Nothobranchius furzeri: one gene and its partners. The protein of the gene in region 3 purifies or fractionates together with the protein of the main gene of each other region. This does not show direct contact. Links are inferred from orthologs where the notes say so. Each region holds a gene or a part of one and is shown on either strand. Other genes may lie near its edges. The genes, in order: txnipa, spartb, NEDD4-like E3 ubiquitin-protein ligase WWP1, rnf11b and smad6b.

The links.
Region 1: the proteins of NEDD4-like E3 ubiquitin-protein ligase WWP1 (region 3) and txnipa purify together in Homo sapiens (affinity purification with mass spectrometry; 4 studies listed by BioGRID and IntAct, counting the BioPlex papers as one, with this or other methods). This does not show direct contact. The link is inferred for Nothobranchius furzeri from reciprocal best matches to the Homo sapiens genes WWP1 and TXNIP.
Region 2: the proteins of NEDD4-like E3 ubiquitin-protein ligase WWP1 (region 3) and spartb purify together in Homo sapiens (affinity purification with mass spectrometry; 5 studies listed by BioGRID and IntAct, counting the BioPlex papers as one, with this or other methods). This does not show direct contact. The link is inferred for Nothobranchius furzeri from reciprocal best matches to the Homo sapiens genes WWP1 and SPART.
Region 4: the proteins of NEDD4-like E3 ubiquitin-protein ligase WWP1 (region 3) and rnf11b purify together in Homo sapiens (affinity purification with mass spectrometry; 3 studies listed by BioGRID, with this or other methods). This does not show direct contact. The link is inferred for Nothobranchius furzeri from reciprocal best matches to the Homo sapiens genes WWP1 and RNF11.
Region 5: the proteins of NEDD4-like E3 ubiquitin-protein ligase WWP1 (region 3) and smad6b purify together in Homo sapiens (affinity purification with western blotting; 3 studies listed by BioGRID, with this or other methods). This does not show direct contact. The link is inferred for Nothobranchius furzeri from reciprocal best matches to the Homo sapiens genes WWP1 and SMAD6.

What each region holds. Positions count from the first base shown.
Region 1 is NC_091751.1:26,063,965-26,068,154, reverse strand, and holds txnipa (thioredoxin interacting protein a), read left to right. Parts: upstream 1-1,388; 5' UTR 1,389-1,572; coding exon 1,573-1,828; intron 1,829-1,905; coding exon 1,906-1,981; intron 1,982-2,083; coding exon 2,084-2,231; intron 2,232-2,540; coding exon 2,541-2,900; intron 2,901-2,972; coding exon 2,973-3,275; intron 3,276-3,355; coding exon 3,356-3,400; 3' UTR 3,401-3,958; downstream 3,959-4,190. UniProt on the Homo sapiens protein: May act as an oxidative stress mediator by inhibiting thioredoxin activity or by limiting its bioavailability.
Region 2 is NC_091753.1:42,875,655-42,879,761, reverse strand, and holds the start of spartb (spartin b), read left to right. Parts: upstream 1-1,296; 5' UTR 1,297-1,529; intron 1,530-1,903; exon of another isoform or gene 1,904-1,918; 5' UTR 1,919-1,922; coding exon 1,923-2,678; intron 2,679-4,107. UniProt on the Homo sapiens protein: Lipophagy receptor that plays an important role in lipid droplet (LD) turnover in motor neurons.
Region 3 is NC_091747.1:36,676,237-36,679,751, reverse strand, and holds part of NEDD4-like E3 ubiquitin-protein ligase WWP1, read left to right. Parts: intron 1-2,018; coding exon 2,019-2,200; intron 2,201-2,895; coding exon 2,896-3,292; intron 3,293-3,515. UniProt on the Homo sapiens protein: E3 ubiquitin-protein ligase which accepts ubiquitin from an E2 ubiquitin-conjugating enzyme in the form of a thioester and then directly transfers the ubiquitin to targeted substrates.
Region 4 is NC_091748.1:56,811,061-56,814,204, reverse strand, and holds part of rnf11b (RING finger protein 11b), read left to right. Parts: intron 1-1,468; coding exon 1,469-1,640; 3' UTR 1,641-3,144. UniProt on the Homo sapiens protein: Essential component of a ubiquitin-editing protein complex, comprising also TNFAIP3, ITCH and TAX1BP1, that ensures the transient nature of inflammatory signaling pathways. Promotes the association of TNFAIP3 to RIPK1 after TNF stimulation.
Region 5 is NC_091744.1:65,938,467-65,941,981, reverse strand, and holds part of smad6b (mothers against decapentaplegic homolog 6b), read left to right. Parts: intron 1-168; coding exon 169-225; intron 226-1,915; coding exon 1,916-1,993; intron 1,994-3,515. UniProt on the Homo sapiens protein: Transforming growth factor-beta superfamily receptors signaling occurs through the Smad family of intracellular mediators. SMAD6 is an inhibitory Smad (i-Smad) that negatively regulates signaling downstream of type I transforming growth factor-beta.

The DNA of each region.
Region 1 (4,190 bases), on a different chromosome or scaffold from region 3:
AAAATTCTTTGTGTAAGAGGGGGATCCAGTGTGCATGCCCCAACTACCATAAGTCTATTTTAAAGATTTCTGCTCCCCAAAGAAACAGGAAATGCATCACACGACCTTTCGGTCGTGGTAAGACTAAAGGCTGATTCATGCTTCTCCTTCTGCGTCAGTGCGGAGACACGCAACGTCATTATCCGTCCTTGCGTAGGGCCCCGGCAGGCACGCAAGTACGTACGGAGTCGAGCCAACTTTTTTAAACATACGTCAAACGAGACGGAGAACGCAAGCTTGTGATTGGTCAGGGCACCACTGTCGTCTACACCGCCGCCATTGCGCCCTCAAAATCATAAAGAAAGCCGAGAATAACTAGTGGCAGACACGGAGAAGCTTGAAGAATACCTCGCGAAAAAACTCTAAAATATGAACGTTTAATTGCCCCGTGACTGGAGGAGTGAAAAGTTACGCAGCAAGCATTTTATTTGTGGACGGAAATGACAGGAAACGTGGGTTTAGAGGTGGCGAGCGCATGAAGAGGTGGAGGAGAATGAGAGACAAATTTGTCGTGTTAAAAAGTCTCTTATTTACAAAAAACACAATATAAACACACTATGTTGGACTGGATACATGACAGGATACCACAGAACAGCGCTACGCCCTCTGTTGTCCTGACGGGGAATTGCTTTGCAACACTTCCCAGGAGACGAAGAAGTATGAGAGCAAAACACTTCCGTCAATCCGTGTGTGTCTGTCCCTTGCGGAGCTGACGGAGAAGCATGAATCAGCCTCCAGAGGACATTTTTAAACCACACTTAAATGCAGAATAAACAGAGCACTTATACTCTGTATAATTATAGATCATTTCATGGAATTTTCAGGGTGTTTTAAAAGTATGTTAGGATTTCTATCTTCTTCTTCATCTCCCTGTGAGACTGGTAGGGTGGCACCCCAGCGCTCCCTGTGACCGCCACTGCTCCTGAACTATTTTTCTGAACAGAGGCTGTTCAGGACGTTATCTACATCACAGCATTACTGTCCATCTATCTGCTTTTTCAACCATCTGCTCATATTTTGTAATTTTGAAACCGTTTTTCCTTCAGCTATAATGTCCTTTATACTAAAAATGTTTTCTAACAATATTGTCTAAGCCGAACTGGAGCGGCAGGTGCAGCGGATCAGGAATGATATCCTTTAATATTGACTCTTATTCCCCAGTATTGTGCCTGTTCCGAGCTGTTTACTAACTGAGGAGCATTTCTGTTTCTGTCTCAAACTTCGTGCTCACATCAGCTCAGCACGCGCTGCAGCCTCACTGCCATGCAGTGTTCACGCGCTGAATTCTTCTGCTGATTGGCTGGAGGCGAGACAAACAAAGGATTTCGACCAATCGGAGCCATGTGCACGCGCTGAGTCACAGCGGACGTCCCAGCTGCACATGCTCTGCACGCGCTGCTGGTATAAAACGGTCAGAGTCTTTGTTTACAGCAGAGAACAGGGAGCGGTTTAGGAGGGGATAGCTGTCTAACTTTCGGGCGTTGTAACGCGAAAAGCTCACATTGCTGCGCGAGTTGGAAACAGAACGCAAACATGGTGGCAATGACGAAAAAAGTGAAAACCTTCCAGGTCGTCCTGTCGGACCCGTGCAAATCGTTTTACTGCGGCGGGGACCGGGTCAGCGGTCGGGTCGAGGTGGAGGTGTCCGAGGTGACCCGTGTGTCCGCCGTCAAGCTGCTGGGTCTGGGCTGCGCGAAGGTGGAGTACGCTAAAGGCAAGCAGCGGTGCCGCCAGGAGGCCGAGTACCTTCGGTACGAGGAGGTTCTGAGTCTGGGCGACCAGCCCGCAGGTACATGGGGTCCGGGGATTCTCTCTGGGGCATCATCACAGCAACATGCTGATCACAACCGTCTGTGTATCTTTCAGACTCGGACGGATCCGTAGTTCTGAGACCCGGTAACAAGTATGAGTACCCGTTTGGGTTCGACCTTCCTGAGCAGGGGTAAGTCGGACCCAGTCCATCTGGGTCTAGGACGCATCACTGACCTCTAGAGGTAATGCCTTGGGTTTTAACAGGTCTGCTGTGTTCGTTCTGGACTTTCAGTCAGCTGGTGTCGTCATACAAGGGCAAGTTCGGTTACGTCCAGTACTATGTCAAGGCCCAGATGGAGAGACCTCAGCAGCCCACGGTGGAGAGCAAGAAGTACTTCGAGGTGGAAGAACCTCTGGATGTGAACACTCCGGACCTGCTGGTGAGTTCACTAGTGGGTCAGAACCAGAGCGATCTGGTTTCACTTCGGATCTTCTGTTTACATGGGAAACACCCCACTGTTTCCCTGTGCGTGTGCGCGCGTGGTTCCACCATGATACAGTAGATAAGAGGTATCACGTGACCGGCGTATGCAGGAAGTTTAGAAGTGGACTCAGAAGCTGCTCCCAGAGAGGCAGATGGTTTTATTTCAGTAACAGACAATCATGCATGATGACTGGTTCCAATCAGCAGCTCCTTTTTACACACCACCACAGTTCTGGTGATGACAAACTGCTTCCTGTGTCTTCAGTCTCCTGCTGGCGGCATGAAGGAGAAGAAAGTCACCTGCATGTTCATCCCTGATGGCCAGGTGTCGCTCAACGCTAAAATTGACCGCCGTGGTTTCTGCGAGGGTGAAGACATCTGCATCAACGCCAAATTTGAGAACACATGCTCCCGCATTGTGGTCCCGAAAGCCGCCATCATAGCCAAGCACACATACCAGGCTAACGGGCGCACCAAAGTTTTCCGCCAGAAGCTTTCCTCTGTGCGTGGAAACCACATCATCTCAGGGATGTGCGACGCCTGGCAGGGGAAGACCATCAGGGTGCCGAAGATCAAACCGTCCATGCTGGGCTGCAACATCATCCGAGTGGAGTACGCCCTGATGGTAAGTCTGCTTCCTATGGGAGGACTCTGTTAGCCCTGGAACATGGTGTTAAGGTTCCTCATTGTTTCCCAGATTTACATCCACATCCCCGGCAGTGAAAAGCTTATCCTGGAGCTGCCCCTGGTCATTGGGACATCTGGGATTGGCAGTCGCACTAACAGTGTGAGCAGCCAGGAGGGTTCGATCAGCACTGCCTCTCAGAGCTGGGTGTCCCTCAGGATGCCCGCTGAACCCCCGAGCTACTGTGACATCACTAAAGACTGCCGTCTGGACCAGCCGCTCACGCCTCTTCTAGATGATGTGGACTGTGATGACAGTCCCATCTTTATGAACGCTCCCAGCTTCCAGTTCCCATCCCCTCCAGCCTACTCTGAGGTAGGTCTCACACCAGTTAGCTCCATGGCTAGCACCAAGCTACATGTGGCATTACATCTCAAGGTTTTTTTGTTTTTCAGGCTGAGGAGTACAAGGGGAATGCTCAGATGCTTCCTGTCTGCTAAAAGTCCCGAATCCTGGAGGGGTTGTCCACCTCTCCGATTGTTCTTCTAAAGCGCTTCCAAAAAGCTGAAGGTCCAAACTCCAGATGGGATGGGATGTTGGATGGAGAGTTGAACAGAAATGCACTTGCCTGTTACCATGCTTCGTCTTCCATGCTGATGCAGAATCTCCCTCCTGGAGCTGTTTGGGTCGGAGTCCTGAAGCCATCACTTCCAGAGCCTGTCCACAGGCCCAAGAGGCATTTGAGTTGGATCCAACCTGCTGAGATGTCTTCATGAATCATTCCAGTCAGGACTTAAGGAGCTGCTGTTTCGTTGAGGTGTAGGAACAACATTCTCCTGAAGATTACAGAACTCTAATGCTGAGTGATGTTTCCAGATGTTTGAAGCCATTTCTTCATGTTTCCTGTAGCACTTTGTACTTTCTCCACGTCTGCTGACCAGGTTGTCTCTGAACAATATTTTTATGTTGGAATGACTTTTATTTTCCAGTTTCCAGGAACCTACTTCTGAGATTTGCCATTGGCAGTTTTTTTTTTTTTTTTTTTTTTTTTTTTTTTGCTGGAAAAACAGAGATTCAGCAACTCAGACCTGATGAAAGCACCTTCTAGAACATCAGCTCCAGTTGTCTCAGGCAACATTTCTGTGATGGTTCTGTAGTTTTTCTGTTGGCTCAAACAGAACTGCAGCGAATGGCTGATGTGGAAATGTTTTAATGTATCATTTATACGTTAAGTATTTTTGTAAGAAGCCCTATGGGTCTGTTTTCTATTAAAGGCACAATGTTAAATGA
Region 2 (4,107 bases), on a different chromosome or scaffold from region 3:
TGCATGTACCTGTATGTGCTATCTGTATGGAGATTATGTGAAAAGAAGTCAGCTTAAAGGAGTAAATGCAGTAAACTACGTGGACTGGAAAAGTGTTGCAAAAAGAACAAAATAAACAAAACCCTATAATATATGTAAGGGAAAATTAAAGCTTTAGAGCAAAAATGTTATCAAAAATGGAAGACCTAAACAATCAGTAGCTCATAACTGGCAAAAATTTAAATTTAAGGAAATCATAAAAGTCGTGTAATAAAGTAATCAGTGGTAATAAAAATAATGCAAATATGTGTATGAATGCATCTTTAAAAGAATTAATAAAAGAAAATAGAAGAAGGAACACAAGAAATTAATCAGTGTTGTTAGTAATCAAACCTGCATGTGAATGTGCCACAGAATAATTTAGAGATTAGTTTTGTAAAACTGAAATATAAAATGAACTTAATTAGTTACAAAATATGTAAAAATATTGTAGAAATTCTAAAATCTCTAGGAATTGAAAAATAAAAGAAAACTGAATTTGGACTAACTTAACAGTTAGTCGCTGTAAGCAAATAATTATGAAAAGCTTTGATAGCTGTTTTTCTTTAGCAACTCCATGTTGATCGTGTTTAACTCTCACTCAAATAGATTAAATTTTTTAATTTTATTTTCTTCAAAAAGCTCTCCAATCAATCCCGTTAGCTATGTGCATCGGCACTTTACAACTTCCATATTTGATTTGGGCAGAAAACTACAGTAAAGTGATTTCTGTTATCGGAGATTTTGAGGTTTATTTTGAAAGTATTAACCGGATATTGTACATATTGTTAGAAAAACAACTTGATTAAATGACTTGGTTGCAGTTATAAATAATGACCGCTAGAGGGAGGCAAATGCTAGCTACGGCTCTCTTAGACACAATATACTTATACAAGGGTTGATTCAGCAGCAGCCTTCAAGCGACGAAACAAGCTGAAAGTTAAACAACTAATTTATCAGTGTGATTGTTCACTTACATTTTTGCTTTCAATGAGTGTTTATTTAGTTTGATACCCATTGACTTTGTGTAGTGTTGCGTTTCCATTTGGACGCACCGGACAAGCGGCCGATGCAATCTTGCGCCCCGCCCCAATCTGCGTACTGCAGTCAGGGGCTACCATCGGGGGCTACTCATGCATAGTGTGTTTTGAATTGTCCCACACTGCCCTCCTGTGGTAACAATAACAAATGGCAAGAATTAAAAAGTCAAGCCCCAGTAGCAGTATAATTACTTTTCCGGTGCATACTTTCACAATAAAAGCAAAGCTAAGTTTAGCGCTAACATTTGTCGCCTGCGTCAAACATGCGTTCTTCCGGTCAAAGTGTTGTTTTGAAAGGTCACGAGTGTGCTTTGTAAACTCACCCTACAGCGTGTAGCATTTAGAAACCGTCTGACGCAGTCTGCTCAGTGTAGGAGGGAAGTCTCGGAGAGAAGGCATTCTGAATCTGGAAGAATTGTTTGCTAACAAACAGCTACTAGCTAACTTGCTGTTCTTTTGTAACTCACTGAGGTAAGCCAAACAAACTGTTGATATCAGGAGTTTTCTGTGTTATTTAGATTATTTCTGTTCGCTGTAACATTGAAAATATGCAATAACAACTCATCTTGTCTGTACAGGAACGTTAGCTATTTTTGTTTATTTATTTATTTAATCAGAATTAGCTCAATGCTCCATCCGACTACAGCACAACAAACACGTGTAAATCTGACTGTTACCTATGCTTTGATCCAGTTAAACACGTTTTGTTCATCAGACGAGCAGTTTGCGTAAATTATAAATGAACTTTAGAAAGTTGAGCTAACTACAGTTAGCATTAAAGTTCTATTTATTTACCTTGTTGGTTGTTGCGATTAAATATAGAACAGCTGTCTAAAATTAATCAGATTTTACTTTGCAAGGGGGATGGAGAAGGCTAAACAAGATGCCTTTGATAACGCCAGACTTCAGTTGATCAACGATGGCTATGAGAGTGCTTTTGAGTGCATCAACAAAGGACTAACAGCAGATGAAGCTGGAGACAAGACACAGGCCCTGGAGTTCTACAAGCGGGGCCGACAGCACCTCATCAGGGCCATCAGTGTGCCTTCGACGGGAGACGAGTGTCATGGTAGCTCCTGGGAATCGGCCAGACAGATGCAGCATAAGATGCAGGAGACGCTGAACAACATCACCACCCGCCTCGCCATCCTGGAGACCTGCTCTGATGGTGAAGCTGCACCCGCACAGGATGCAGAAGGTCTGTACCCAAAGCTCCACTTCAAAGAGAAGCCAGAGAGACCGACTCTACCAATCCTGCTTGCTGGAGCTGTAGGAGGCGTAGCTGTGAACTGTCCACCCGTGGGTCCAGCTGAGCAGCCTCCAGCTTATTCTCCTCAGGCAGCTCAAGGCCACATATCTGTCTCCTACGGGACAGATTCAGGGGAAATGTCACTGGTTAGGGATGAGTTCTACAACCGTACATCTCACTCAACGCCATCTCCTCAGGGCATGGACGAGGATGGGCAGGAGTTACTGTACATTCCTCATGGCGTCCAGATCTTCTACGTCACACCTGAGGGCCACGTAAGCGCCCCATCATATCCGGGCTACCTTCGTCTGGTGAAGTTTACCAGCGATCAGTCTGACAGGATGCCTGATCGACCACCAGCATTTCTGCAGGTATGACAGGAAGCACTAATTAGCCAAACATGTGTCTGCCTGATGCAATAAGTGCTTAAAAAATGTCACCACTGCTGGCCTGACTCTAGCCGTTTCCCTTTAACCTGATTCTGTGAGGCATGCTTAAGATCTCAGACTGCAACAGTGGGAGGAGGTAGTCTTGTCTGTTATCCACTTCTCTCGCCCTATGAACACCCATCATTTGGGAGTAGTTTATCTCGTCCCTAATCCTGTAGACACTGATGTCATCCTCTCGGGAATCAGGATTAGGTGTGTTTAAAGATAGAAAAAGAAATCATGAGTCATGATTCCTTTGGTTTTATTTGGAGCCGGATTTTAGTCAGCAGCAACAATTTGAACAACGTTGATACAGGTGCTGGCCAGTAAATTAGAATATCATCAAAAGGTTGAAAATATTTCAGTAATTCCATTCAAAACGTGAAACTTGTACATTATATTCATGCAATGCACACAGACCAATGTATTTCCAATGTTCATTACATTTAAATTTGATATTCATAAGTGACAACTAATGAAAACTCCAAATTTGGTATCTCAAAAAATTAGAATATTCTGAAAAGGCTGAATATAGAAGACACCTGCTGCCACTCTAATCAGCTGATTTACTCAAAACACCTGCAAAGGCCTTTAAAAGGTCCCTCAGTCTTGTTTTGAAGGCACCACAATCATGGGGAAGACTTCTGACTTAACAGCTGTCCAAAAGACAATCATTGACACCTTGCACAAGGAGGGCAAGACACAAAAGGTGATTGCTAAAGAAGCTGGCTGTTCGCAGAGCTCTGTGTCCAAGCACATTAACAGACAGGCGAAGGGACGGAAAAAATGTGGTAGAAAAAAGTGTACAAGCTCTAGGGATAACCGCACCCTGCAGAGAATTGTGACGACAAACCCATTCAAAAATGTGGGGGAGATCCACAAAGAGTGGACTGCAGCTGGAGTCAGCGCTTCAAGAACCACCACGAGGAGACTCATGAAAGACATGGGATTCAGGTGTCGCATTCCGTGTGTCAAGCCACTCTTGAACAAGAAACAGCGCAAGAAGCGTCTCGCCTGGGCCAAGGACAAAAAGGACTGGACTGATGCTGAGTGGTCCAAAGTTATGTTTTCTGATGAAAGCAAGTTCTGCATTTCCTTTGGAAATCAAGGACCCAGAGTCTGGAGGAAGAGCGGAGAAGCACAGAATCCACGTTGCATGAGGTCCAGTGTAAAGTTTCCACCGTCAGTGATGGTGTGGGGTGCCATGTCATCTGCCGGTGTTGGCCCACTCTGTTTCCTGAGGTCCAGGGTCAATGCAGCCATCTACCAGGAAGTTTTAGAGCACTTCATGCTTCCTGCTGCTGACCAACTTTATGGGGATGCAGACTTCACCTTTCAACAGGACTTGGCACCTGCACACAGTGCCAAAACC
Region 3 (3,515 bases):
ATAAAAGTCCCACAGCCAAGCGGTTGTAGTTGGCTGGTTAGTGAAGGAGATCCATCAGCTGGGTCATTTGATCCTAGTCCAGCCCACAGCCTCCTGCTGGTGTTATCGGCAAGAATAAAACAAACGTCTCAAATAACACTGGAAGTTTAGGATTTTATTAATGTTTTTTATTATTTTCTGCATTAAACAGAACTTGATTAATTCTCCAACATTAAAAGCTAATATATGGACCCATTATGGATTTTATATCTTAAATTTAAGGCAATAATTGGACTGTCCTATAGGTTTTTAGTATATTTTCAGATTTTTGAGCATTTGCAAAGCATGTTTTTCTCAGCCTGAGGTGTGACTGTTGAGTGAGGAAACAGATTATTTACTTTGTTAAATCTTAAATGTTTAAACTGTTTGGCGCTTTCACACTGTCCGAAGGACTGTTGTGAATGGAGAACTTTTGGGGGGTAGCAGGTTGTGCCAAGACACATTTTTATTTAAAAAAGCAATCATCTGACATGTATTTATTGATGAAAACATCCATATGAAATCATCGCGATGCATCGGGATATCAAATCAAATTAATAACAACAATAATAATAATAATACATCAAACTTATATAGCGCCTTTTAGGTCACTTAAAGGCGCTTCACAAAAAAATGCAATAAACACAATAAAACAAAATTAAACATATTAAACAGACTGGGGGATGCTGGGTTGATCCTAAAGGAAGGCCATTTTAAAGAGGTGGGTTTTAAGCAGTGACTTAAAAGTAGAAAGAGAGACGGCATTCCTGAAGTTTAATGGGAGAAAGTTCTGAAGTGTGGGGGCAGCGGCTGCAAAGGCTCGATCCCCCATGGTACGTTGTTTTGTTTTAAAAGGGGAAAGGAGGTTGGAGTCAGCAGAACGGAGGTGCCGGGAAGGAGAATGGCGATGGAGAAGTTCAGTCAGATAGGATGGTGCAAGGTTATTGAGGCATTTGTAAGTGATGAGGAGCAATTTGTTATGGATCCGGTATGAAACTGGGAGCCAGTGAAGTTGTGTGAGTACTGGAGTTATGTGGTCCCTGGAGCGAGTGTGGGTGAGTAAACGTGCTGCTGAGTTTTGGATGTATTGAAGTTTTTGTAGGGCTGAGGAAGGACGTCCGTAAAGAATGCTGTCACAATAGTCCAGTCCAGAGGTTATGAAGGCAAAGATGAGTGTTTGGGCAGTGGAGTCAGTGAGGGATGGACGGAGACGGGCAATGTTGCGGAGGTGGAAGAACGATACCCTGTGGATGTTGTTGATGTGGGACTTGAAGGAAAGGGAGGAGTCGAAGATGACGCTGAGATTGCGGACTGTAGAGGAGGGAGTCGCTGTGAGACCGTCAATTTGTAGAGAAATATTTAGAACTGACTGTAGGGGAGATTTGGGACCAGTGATGATGAATTCTGTTTTGGAGCAGTTCAATTTGAGGAAGTTGGTGTCCATCCGATGTTTTATGTCAGAGAGGCATCCTGAGATCGTGGAAAGAATGGAAAAATTGAGTCATTGGCCCAATAATCGTAATCGAATCGAATTTGGAGACAAGTGAAGATTTACAGGTGGATTTTCAGCGTGACCTCCCATTAAAGGGCTGAATGTTGTGGTGGGTTTTGTTTTCACCTGTCTGGCTGCACATCCCTGGCACTAACTGAACTCTTTGGGTTTACAAAGAGGCTCTTTCAGCTGTGCTCGTTACGTCTGCATCCTCGTTTCAGCCCAGCCCAACAGTGGTCTCACCAGGAGGGTGTCCGTTCACCACAAAGCAACCTGACAGTGTTGATGGGAAACACTGCTTTATACATGCTGAACTTTTATCTGTTCCAGTTTTTGAAAATGCTGTCAAACTTTAAAAAAATTATCTAAAAAAGTATTCTAAAATAGTCAGAGAGCCTGTGGTGGTGTTTCCTCAAGGACATCTTTCTGCTTTCTCAGGGTAGATGGTTACAAACCTAAAGCAGGAATCAGAACAGCTCAGTGCTTTAACGTTTCCCTCCTCCTACAGCACAGTGAACGGGACAGACTTGGGTCAAAGGTCAGGTTCCTGTTCAGCCACCAGTGGTGCGGAGGGTCAGGTGCCTTCCAGCTCCTGCAGCCCTGCTCCTGATCACACCCTCAACGGGGACACAACACCCAACTCCACCCCAGTGCACCAGCCCTCGGACAGAGAGACGGAGACCAGACTAGGTGAGCTCTCCTCTCTTGACGCATCAGCTGGGTTCCTGCAGCCCTCAGACAGCAGAGACACGGCTTGCTTCTTTATTTTATGTTCAGTTGATGCAAAGCCAGAATATTTACTGATAATGTTTAGCGTCGGATGAGAGTCTGCTCACATCAACCCTGTGGATAAATGAGGTGATATTTGCTGCAGGTCTTGGGTGACGTGCGCTTAGCCTCGCAGGTAGGTCTCTGGTTTGCTGGGTTTTTGTTCTTCATGACTCACAGGCTTGTGGTGAATGGTAAAGAGGAGCAGTAGATTAATTTTCATTAAGTGAAGCCTGCAGCCTGCTGCTGTCAGCACCTTTGTCCCAACTCGCAGGAGACAGAAGGGAGGAAAGCAGAGCTGCTCTGGATTAAACCGATGAAAAGAGGTTAAATCCTAATAAATAAAGCTGCTTTTATACGTAAACACTGAAGTAGGTTGTCTGACCTCATCTTTGGGTTGTGACAATGTTCTGGAGGTGTTCTCTAAATGATGCTGCGTCAGATTTTACACTAATAATGCATGTCTAAATTATTCAGCACTGTGTTTAGTAACAAGTGCTTATATATACGCACTTATGTCAAAAAATGATGAAGGTAAAATTAATAAAATCAAAGCTGGAGCGCTTTCTCGCTTCTCCTCAGACTGCCCCGTTCAGTGTTGGTTTTACTGTCTGCAGTAAATGGGGAATCCGCCGAGGCTGTTCTAAGGGAACCTTCTGCAACAAGAGGTGACGCGCCGCCCCCTGTTGATGACCACGAGGACTGCAATCCAGATGCTGAAACGGCCCCAGCGAGCACATCTCAGCTAGCCTCCACCCCTTCTCCAGCCACCTCTGTTGCTGCTAAACCCGCCAACGGCACTGCTGCTTCCACTACACATGCCTCTCCAGCCCAGGGGGCCACCACCGTCACAACATCTTCATCTTCGTCCTCTTCCTCTCCAGCCGCGGGTGACACAAGTGCTTCAGGAAGTGTGGGAGGCAGCAGTAGTAATGGCACAGCTGTGACTACAGATGGCGTGAAGCCCAGGCAGCAGACGCCCAACGCTGCAGCCTCAGATCCTTTACCACCAGGGTAAGATACCCGTGCTGTCAGCATCGACCAGGTTTTCAGGGCATTCAACACTGATGTCATCAGGCTTTTCCCACTGGTTTCTTCAGCTGATCAAATTGATGTCACTTCATTTAGAGCTCTTTTGTTTACTGAGGATTTTAGAGACAGAATGATTAAACTGATGCTTTTCTTTATGTTATAAAGATATAAATCTTATTAGCTCTCAAATTGTTGGAATAAAAAC
Region 4 (3,144 bases), on a different chromosome or scaffold from region 3:
TGTTAATATTGATTGTGAATCGATTTAAATCGATTTCGAATCGAATCGGCACCCTGAGAATCGGAATCGAATCAAATTGTGAGTTGCTCTGAGATTCACATCCCTAGAAAGTACACACTGCTGTAATGCAAAAATTGTTTTTTTCTAAATCACTTTAAAGTAAGAGTGAGCAGTTTTCTGCTCCTCCATCCTACTGGTTGAAAGTACGATAACAACTGTTGTAAACAACCCAACTGTAGCTAGCACTAATAACAAGCTAACACAAATTTGACCTAACTAATGCTAAAATAAACCATGAAATAAAAAGATCCACACTGTAGGACAAAAAATATTTATAAATACTTATAAATCCAGTAGCAACAAAGCCAGGTCACAATCAGTCCGTGATTTTGTAGCATCCTTTAGCTCCCTCAAACTAGTGTAGGCCATGCTTATGTTAACTCTGGTTGTAGCTCTTTGCTTCATATCAAGAGACATTACTCTTACTTTTACTTCCAGGCTCTGCCATGATGCCAACAGAAAAAGCAAACTTCTTCTTTTTCTGCTTTATATTGATGATTGGCAAACTGAAAATGCTAACCACTAACATTACAGCTAACAGCCATAAAGAAGGTAAAGAGCGCCTCCTAGGACACCTACCTGCTCCACTAAACTATTAAGTGCGGTTTTTGGTCAGCGGAGGGCCGCAGAGTGTTGTCAAAAGCCAGTTTCACATTTGGCCCAGGCTGGGTGGCTCCAGATCAGGGTCCTGCACCGGTAGGTTTTGTTCACACATTCTTTTTAGGAATGTGGAAATCTCAGAGCACATGGGCAGGGAAAAGATGCACTGAGAAATCTGTGATGCCTCCCTTAAGTTAAGTAAACAAAGCGTTGCTTTTGCATTCTCTGACTCTGATATTGCATCCTGACTGCTGTCTGTCCTCGCGCAGGGCAGCATGCAAGCCTCCACAGCGCTCCCTGTGTGTGTGCTCTTCACAGCACGTCTCAGTGACAGAGACAGAGAGCTCCTGCAGCTTCAGTCAGAGGCAGTGTTTACTCCTCAGTTTCCAGAATGATAATGAATCCCACATGCGGAAGCCCCTGCTGGCTGATTTGTCTTTGTCAGTCAGAGGCTTCCCTTAATGGTAGGCATGAATTTGAGCCAGTCAGTCGGTCTGCAGAGGTTGTGTTGGGTCAGTTCAGCCCAAAGCAGCCCGCCTGGGGAAGAGGGCTGAAAATATGGTCGGTGGAGCACGAAAAAAAATACAGGCTACCCAGATGTGAACACAATATACCATACCTGGGCCGGACCGACCCTGATGTGAAAACGGCAAAGCTGGTTAAGTTTACTAAGATAAATGTTAAAGCTTTAGCTTAAAGTAAAATCTTTTTTTTTTTAGTAATTTTCATTTTGATACACCAGAGAAGTCATTGAGATAGGTCTTGTGCATTGAGGAGAGTTTACGATGGTATGTTCTCACCTCTGCAGGTGCGTCATCTGTATGATGGACTTTGTTTATGGAGACCCCATCCGGTTCCTGCCCTGCATGCACATCTACCACCTGGACTGTATAGACGACTGGCTGATGAGATCCTTCACCTGCCCCTCCTGCATGGAGCCTGTGGACGCTGCGCTGCTCTCCTCCTACGAGACCAACTGACACAAGCACCCCCTGGACCACACAGGACCTGAACAAATCCATGGACACTCTAAATACACTAAACATCAACTTCCCCAACTTATATCCTGGATTAGTAAGATGGTGATTTCAAAGCATTGATCGTAAAATAACGTAGGATGAATAATGTTTGTGCATAAAAATTTATAATTATAAATATATGTACGGTGTGTGTGTGTGTACACCATTTCCTCAGTTGGCCTGCTGGACAGGACTGCATCTGAGAAAGGACAGGAGGAATAAAGAACAAGAGCAGGGAGGAGAGAGGAGTCAAAGATGAGTGCAGAAAGCCCGGGTGTGTGCATGAAGCGAGCGACAGAGAAGCAGCTGGAACCTGTGAATATTAACTATCATGACTGAGAAATATTTTTATGTTCTGTTTTCAAATTTGGCACACACACACACACACACACAAACAGAAGCATACTCCCTTCCTTTTACTTTCATTACAAGAATGCAGATTGTTTTTCTCTGTCTGTTGGTAAGTGAAAACTTTCATAACCGAAGGAAAAGTTGATTGGTAGTTGTATTTCCTAAGAAACTGTTACAGGGTTGTTGTAGACGAGACTAGTAGAGACGAACACACAACATAGTAGCACAGACTACCAGGCTCCCTCCGTCTTCTGCACACCTACCTTGACTTGTCTCTGCAGATCTTTCCTGTGAAACGTTAGCTGAATGGTCGCTGTGTCGATTGGCTGTTCTGTGGCTTTGTGAAATCTGTTCTTTAGTTATTTTGCAAATCAACATAAGGACTTCGTGTTGAATCGGTTTACCAAAAACACAGACTCAGCAAAAGGAAGTATGTGCTTCACTCATTCATGTGATGATGCTAAAATTATCACTGATGAGATCTCAGACTACAGGCCAAAGCAAAAAGTCAACAGATGAGCGACACTTTGATCAGAATTTGAAATTTGCAGTACTTAAAGGGATTTTTCAGCTGTTTTTAAGTAGGTTCCTGTGTAAAAGTTTTAAAGAATTACTGACAGAACTAGTTAGTACAGTCAAGAACAAAGTGCACTCTCAGAAATCTAATGTTGAATTTACTTAACCAAGTTATGTCAACTGGTTCCACTAAACCTATTACTTAAAGACCAAGTTCATTGAGAAACTGTTGTTTACTTGTTAGTTTTGAAATATGATTAGTCACTCTTGAGTTTCACATGCAGGCTTATTGTGAAAATAGTCTTCTACCCTTGTTTCCTGCATTAGCCACCAATAAAAAAGATGAAAATACTAGGATTAGACAAGCTCAGATCAACTTCACACTGTCACTTAACATCCGTCATGACTCGCGACGGCTGTAGACGTTTAGTGTCCAGGGAATGGTAGAGAATATCTCGGCTAGTAGAAGCTAACTATTAGCATTAGCAACTTTACCGCATGGGAAAACTCCTCCAGGCTTGTGTTATTTGTGGAGATGAAACATCCGTGTTACAACGTAAACTGAGTGAGTCGAGGAGATTAGATGTCAGAATATCAG
Region 5 (3,515 bases), on a different chromosome or scaffold from region 3:
CAGAACACAAGTCTTTACAGTTTAGTACGCAAAGAAGCAGAGCTAGAAGTCTTCATCCGACATTCTTTAACGTCCTGCTTTATTCTGCTCTGTTTAACTGAAGATTTTGATTTACAGAAGACTTTTCATTGTGTAATTTGGATATTTATATTACTGTTTTGTGTGCAGAGTCACCTCCTCCTCCATATTCAAGGCTTTCCCCTAACGAAGAACACAAGCCACTGGGTAAGAGACAAAAACAATAATAAACTCTGTTACATTTGAAGTCTTTCCATGTATTTTATGTGGTTATGAATGTTTTTTTAATTGATCATGCTTGTTTAATTTGGAAGAGTGCAAAGACTTTAAGGTGTGGAACACTTAAAACACATTTTTAAAATAATTATTCCAGATTATAATCAGTCGCTCTGAGTTTTTCATGCAGGCTGAACATGACAGTCTCCTACACTTATCTCCTGCATTAGCCTCTGACAGTGATGGTTTGGTGAAAATCCTGGTTTTGAAAAGCTCGACAGATCTACATCACAATATCACTAAGTATTAATGGACTCACCCATCGTGACTCGTGATGGGGAATGGTGTTGTGGGTTTAGCGTCCAGGAAACAGCGGATAACATCTTAGCAAGTAGAAGCTAACCATTAGCATGCAAGTAGAAGCTAACCATTAGCATTAGCAACACCACTACACAGCAGAAAACCTCCATGCTGTTATTTGTGGAGATAAAACATAAACTTTGAAGTGAGTGAAAGAGTCGCGTTGCTGTTATCCAATCCGGAGCGAGATGTTCAAATATCAGGAAATAAGACCATTGTCTAAAGCTCAGCTATGATGTGGTTAACAACTAGTTCCTGAAAATGGTGCCCCGGTATATTTTCCCCCCAGGGTATGACTTACAAGGCATTAATTCCTACTAGAAACCACTGCAAACAAATCGATTAAATGGGTTTCCCACACCTTTAAATAAAAAAGTGTGCACAGGTTGAATTACAGTTGGAGAAAAAAAGCTGAACACACTTTTAGGTACCTGATAATATTTTTATAGATCAGTTAAAAACAATTTATATCCATGAATCATGTCTGGAGTAAAAAAGCACCACTTATATAACAAGAACACCCAGCAGTAAGCAGTTGCGGAGGTGTTCTTTGCTGCTTGGAGGATCTGGTAAACACAACTTATTTTCTTAAATGCATGACCATTAAAAAGAAAACACTGTTTATAAGTGAAATCTGGTAATAACTATACTCTCAAGGAAGATTGTGATTCCCAGAATATGTCCTGCTTAGAAACCATCTTTGCCAGTCCTGTACTCACATGTTGTTGAGAGTTTGGTTTTTGTAATCGCAAAACCAGACTGAAGCAAATTGGAAGGACTGAAAAAAAAAAAAAATATATATATATATATATATATATATATATATATATATATATATATATATATATAGTGAGTACTTCCATCTCTTTGAATTTAGGGAAATAATCTCCACAGGTTGGGTCTCAAAGTCACTTGGACTAATTATAATGCATATCTCTTACCTTTATTTATCAATAATTTAGCTCAAATGTTTATCTTTTGTTTGGACCACTACAGTCAGTTGGTTTGAATGGTTTTGGTTGTAGCTGTTTGTAGTGGGAGACTACTGGATCAAAAGCCTGAGTACAGTTTAAAGTTTCTGGCTGTGTTTGAGAGGATGTCAACACTTAAAAGTCTGCCAGTGAGGTTACGAGGTCATTAACTGTGTGGTGAAGCCTTTGGTGGGGTTTATTGTTTAGAATAAAAAAAAAATCCTATTATATTGGAATGAAAAGTGAACAGGGGTTGCCATCAGGGGTCATCAGCTGGTTCTAAAAGTACTGGGGAAACATTTTGGCATGACCACTTGATCAGGAGCTGATTTCTGTGTCATTCCCTGCAGATCTGTCTGACTCCACTTTGTCTTACACTGAAAGCGAGGCAGCCAGCTCACCAAACATCACACCGGGGGAGTTTTCAGGTGGGTGTGTTTTTACAACTGTTCTTGGCCTCAAAACAAGGTCTTCCAAATGTTTCTGAACCAAAGTAGAGATTAATGATTACTGAAAAAGGTTATCAACCCAGAGCAGCCGGTTTGGTAAATACTGAGGTAATTTGTCAAACAAGAACATCAGCCTGAGAAATGTAAACATAGTGGGCAGAAACGGCTTTTGTCTTTAGAAATATACGGTTTGAATGGTCAGCTGCTGTCTGCATGGTTGTTCTCAGTGAATGGTGATGTTTACACAGGTTCTGGAGTCAAAACATGCACTCATGCTGGCTGATGCAAAGGGGCTGGTAAAATGATCAACTAACTAGCATTTGTGTGCTTATTTAACGTAGGAAGGACTGATATTTGCAAAACATTTATAAAAATACATTATACACTTTATTTTCCTCTCAGAATAAAGTTATAGCTAAATAATACGTTTTAATTTCTAGATAATTATGTCCTTTGATTCCATGCAGTTCTTCAAACTTAGAACTTTTTGTGGGTTTGAGTATTTAGCTTTAAATTAAGGGTATTTCCATTTAGGAGACAGAGTGAATATTGCTATAAATCATAGTTTTGAAATAATCCTTCAGTCTTGTGTTGAAATGTATAAAAAATTATATCCTCTCATAAAAGATGATGTGCTGTGCAAAGTTAAATTCTGAAGTTCTGGAGCATCACAAACGCATTGATGTTGTGAAATAAAGGTCTGATTGTGACTAGAGGTTTTTAAAGAGGGGCGTCGGCATTGGCTCCAGCACAGGCGGCGTCCCCATTTTTTCAGTATTATTTTATTTTTTCAGAAATATTTGAAACTGTAATGAGATCCAAGATTGCTCAGAAGCACACACGCTTACACCTAAACCTTTACTCGTATGTAGCCTAGCTTAAAAGAGAACAAAGGGAGGGGTTCGGAATATGGCCGCTGCTGTGAATGTGGTCACACCAAAAGAAGCAAGTGGAAACACTCTCATCCTCTTTCCTCATGGTGAGCATGGCCCCACACCCCCCAACTTCATGCTAGGGTATCATGTGTTCAGTCAGAGCCCTTATAGTGGAGTATGCATGGACTAGCCTCTCCCTGTTAAAAGGGTCTGCCACGACTCACGGGCCTGGAAGCTGAACGGTTGCTACCTTGCTAAGAAGTATTCAGTCAGCAGAAGCCCCTTCCACCTCCTCCCCTCCCACTCACACAGACTGTCACCACCTCAGCATGGCCCGACGACACTCCCTGAGTCAACAAATGAGGGGCTTGTCAGAGCGCGCACCACAATTCCTCAGAGATTCTGGTGAGGGAGGATCTAGATGTGCAAGGCTTTGGTTTCTTCCAACTGTATCGCTATTCGCACAGGCCGGGTCTGATCACAGCACATTGGTCACAACACGCTCGGCGTTAGGGCCTCGAGAAATAAAATACCCCTCCCTCTGAGGGGTGTTTTCCAAACTTGACCTCATTTGTACCCCTAGTTTTCTCTCTGCTGTTCCTAAACAGGGAAGTTTGACAAACAAG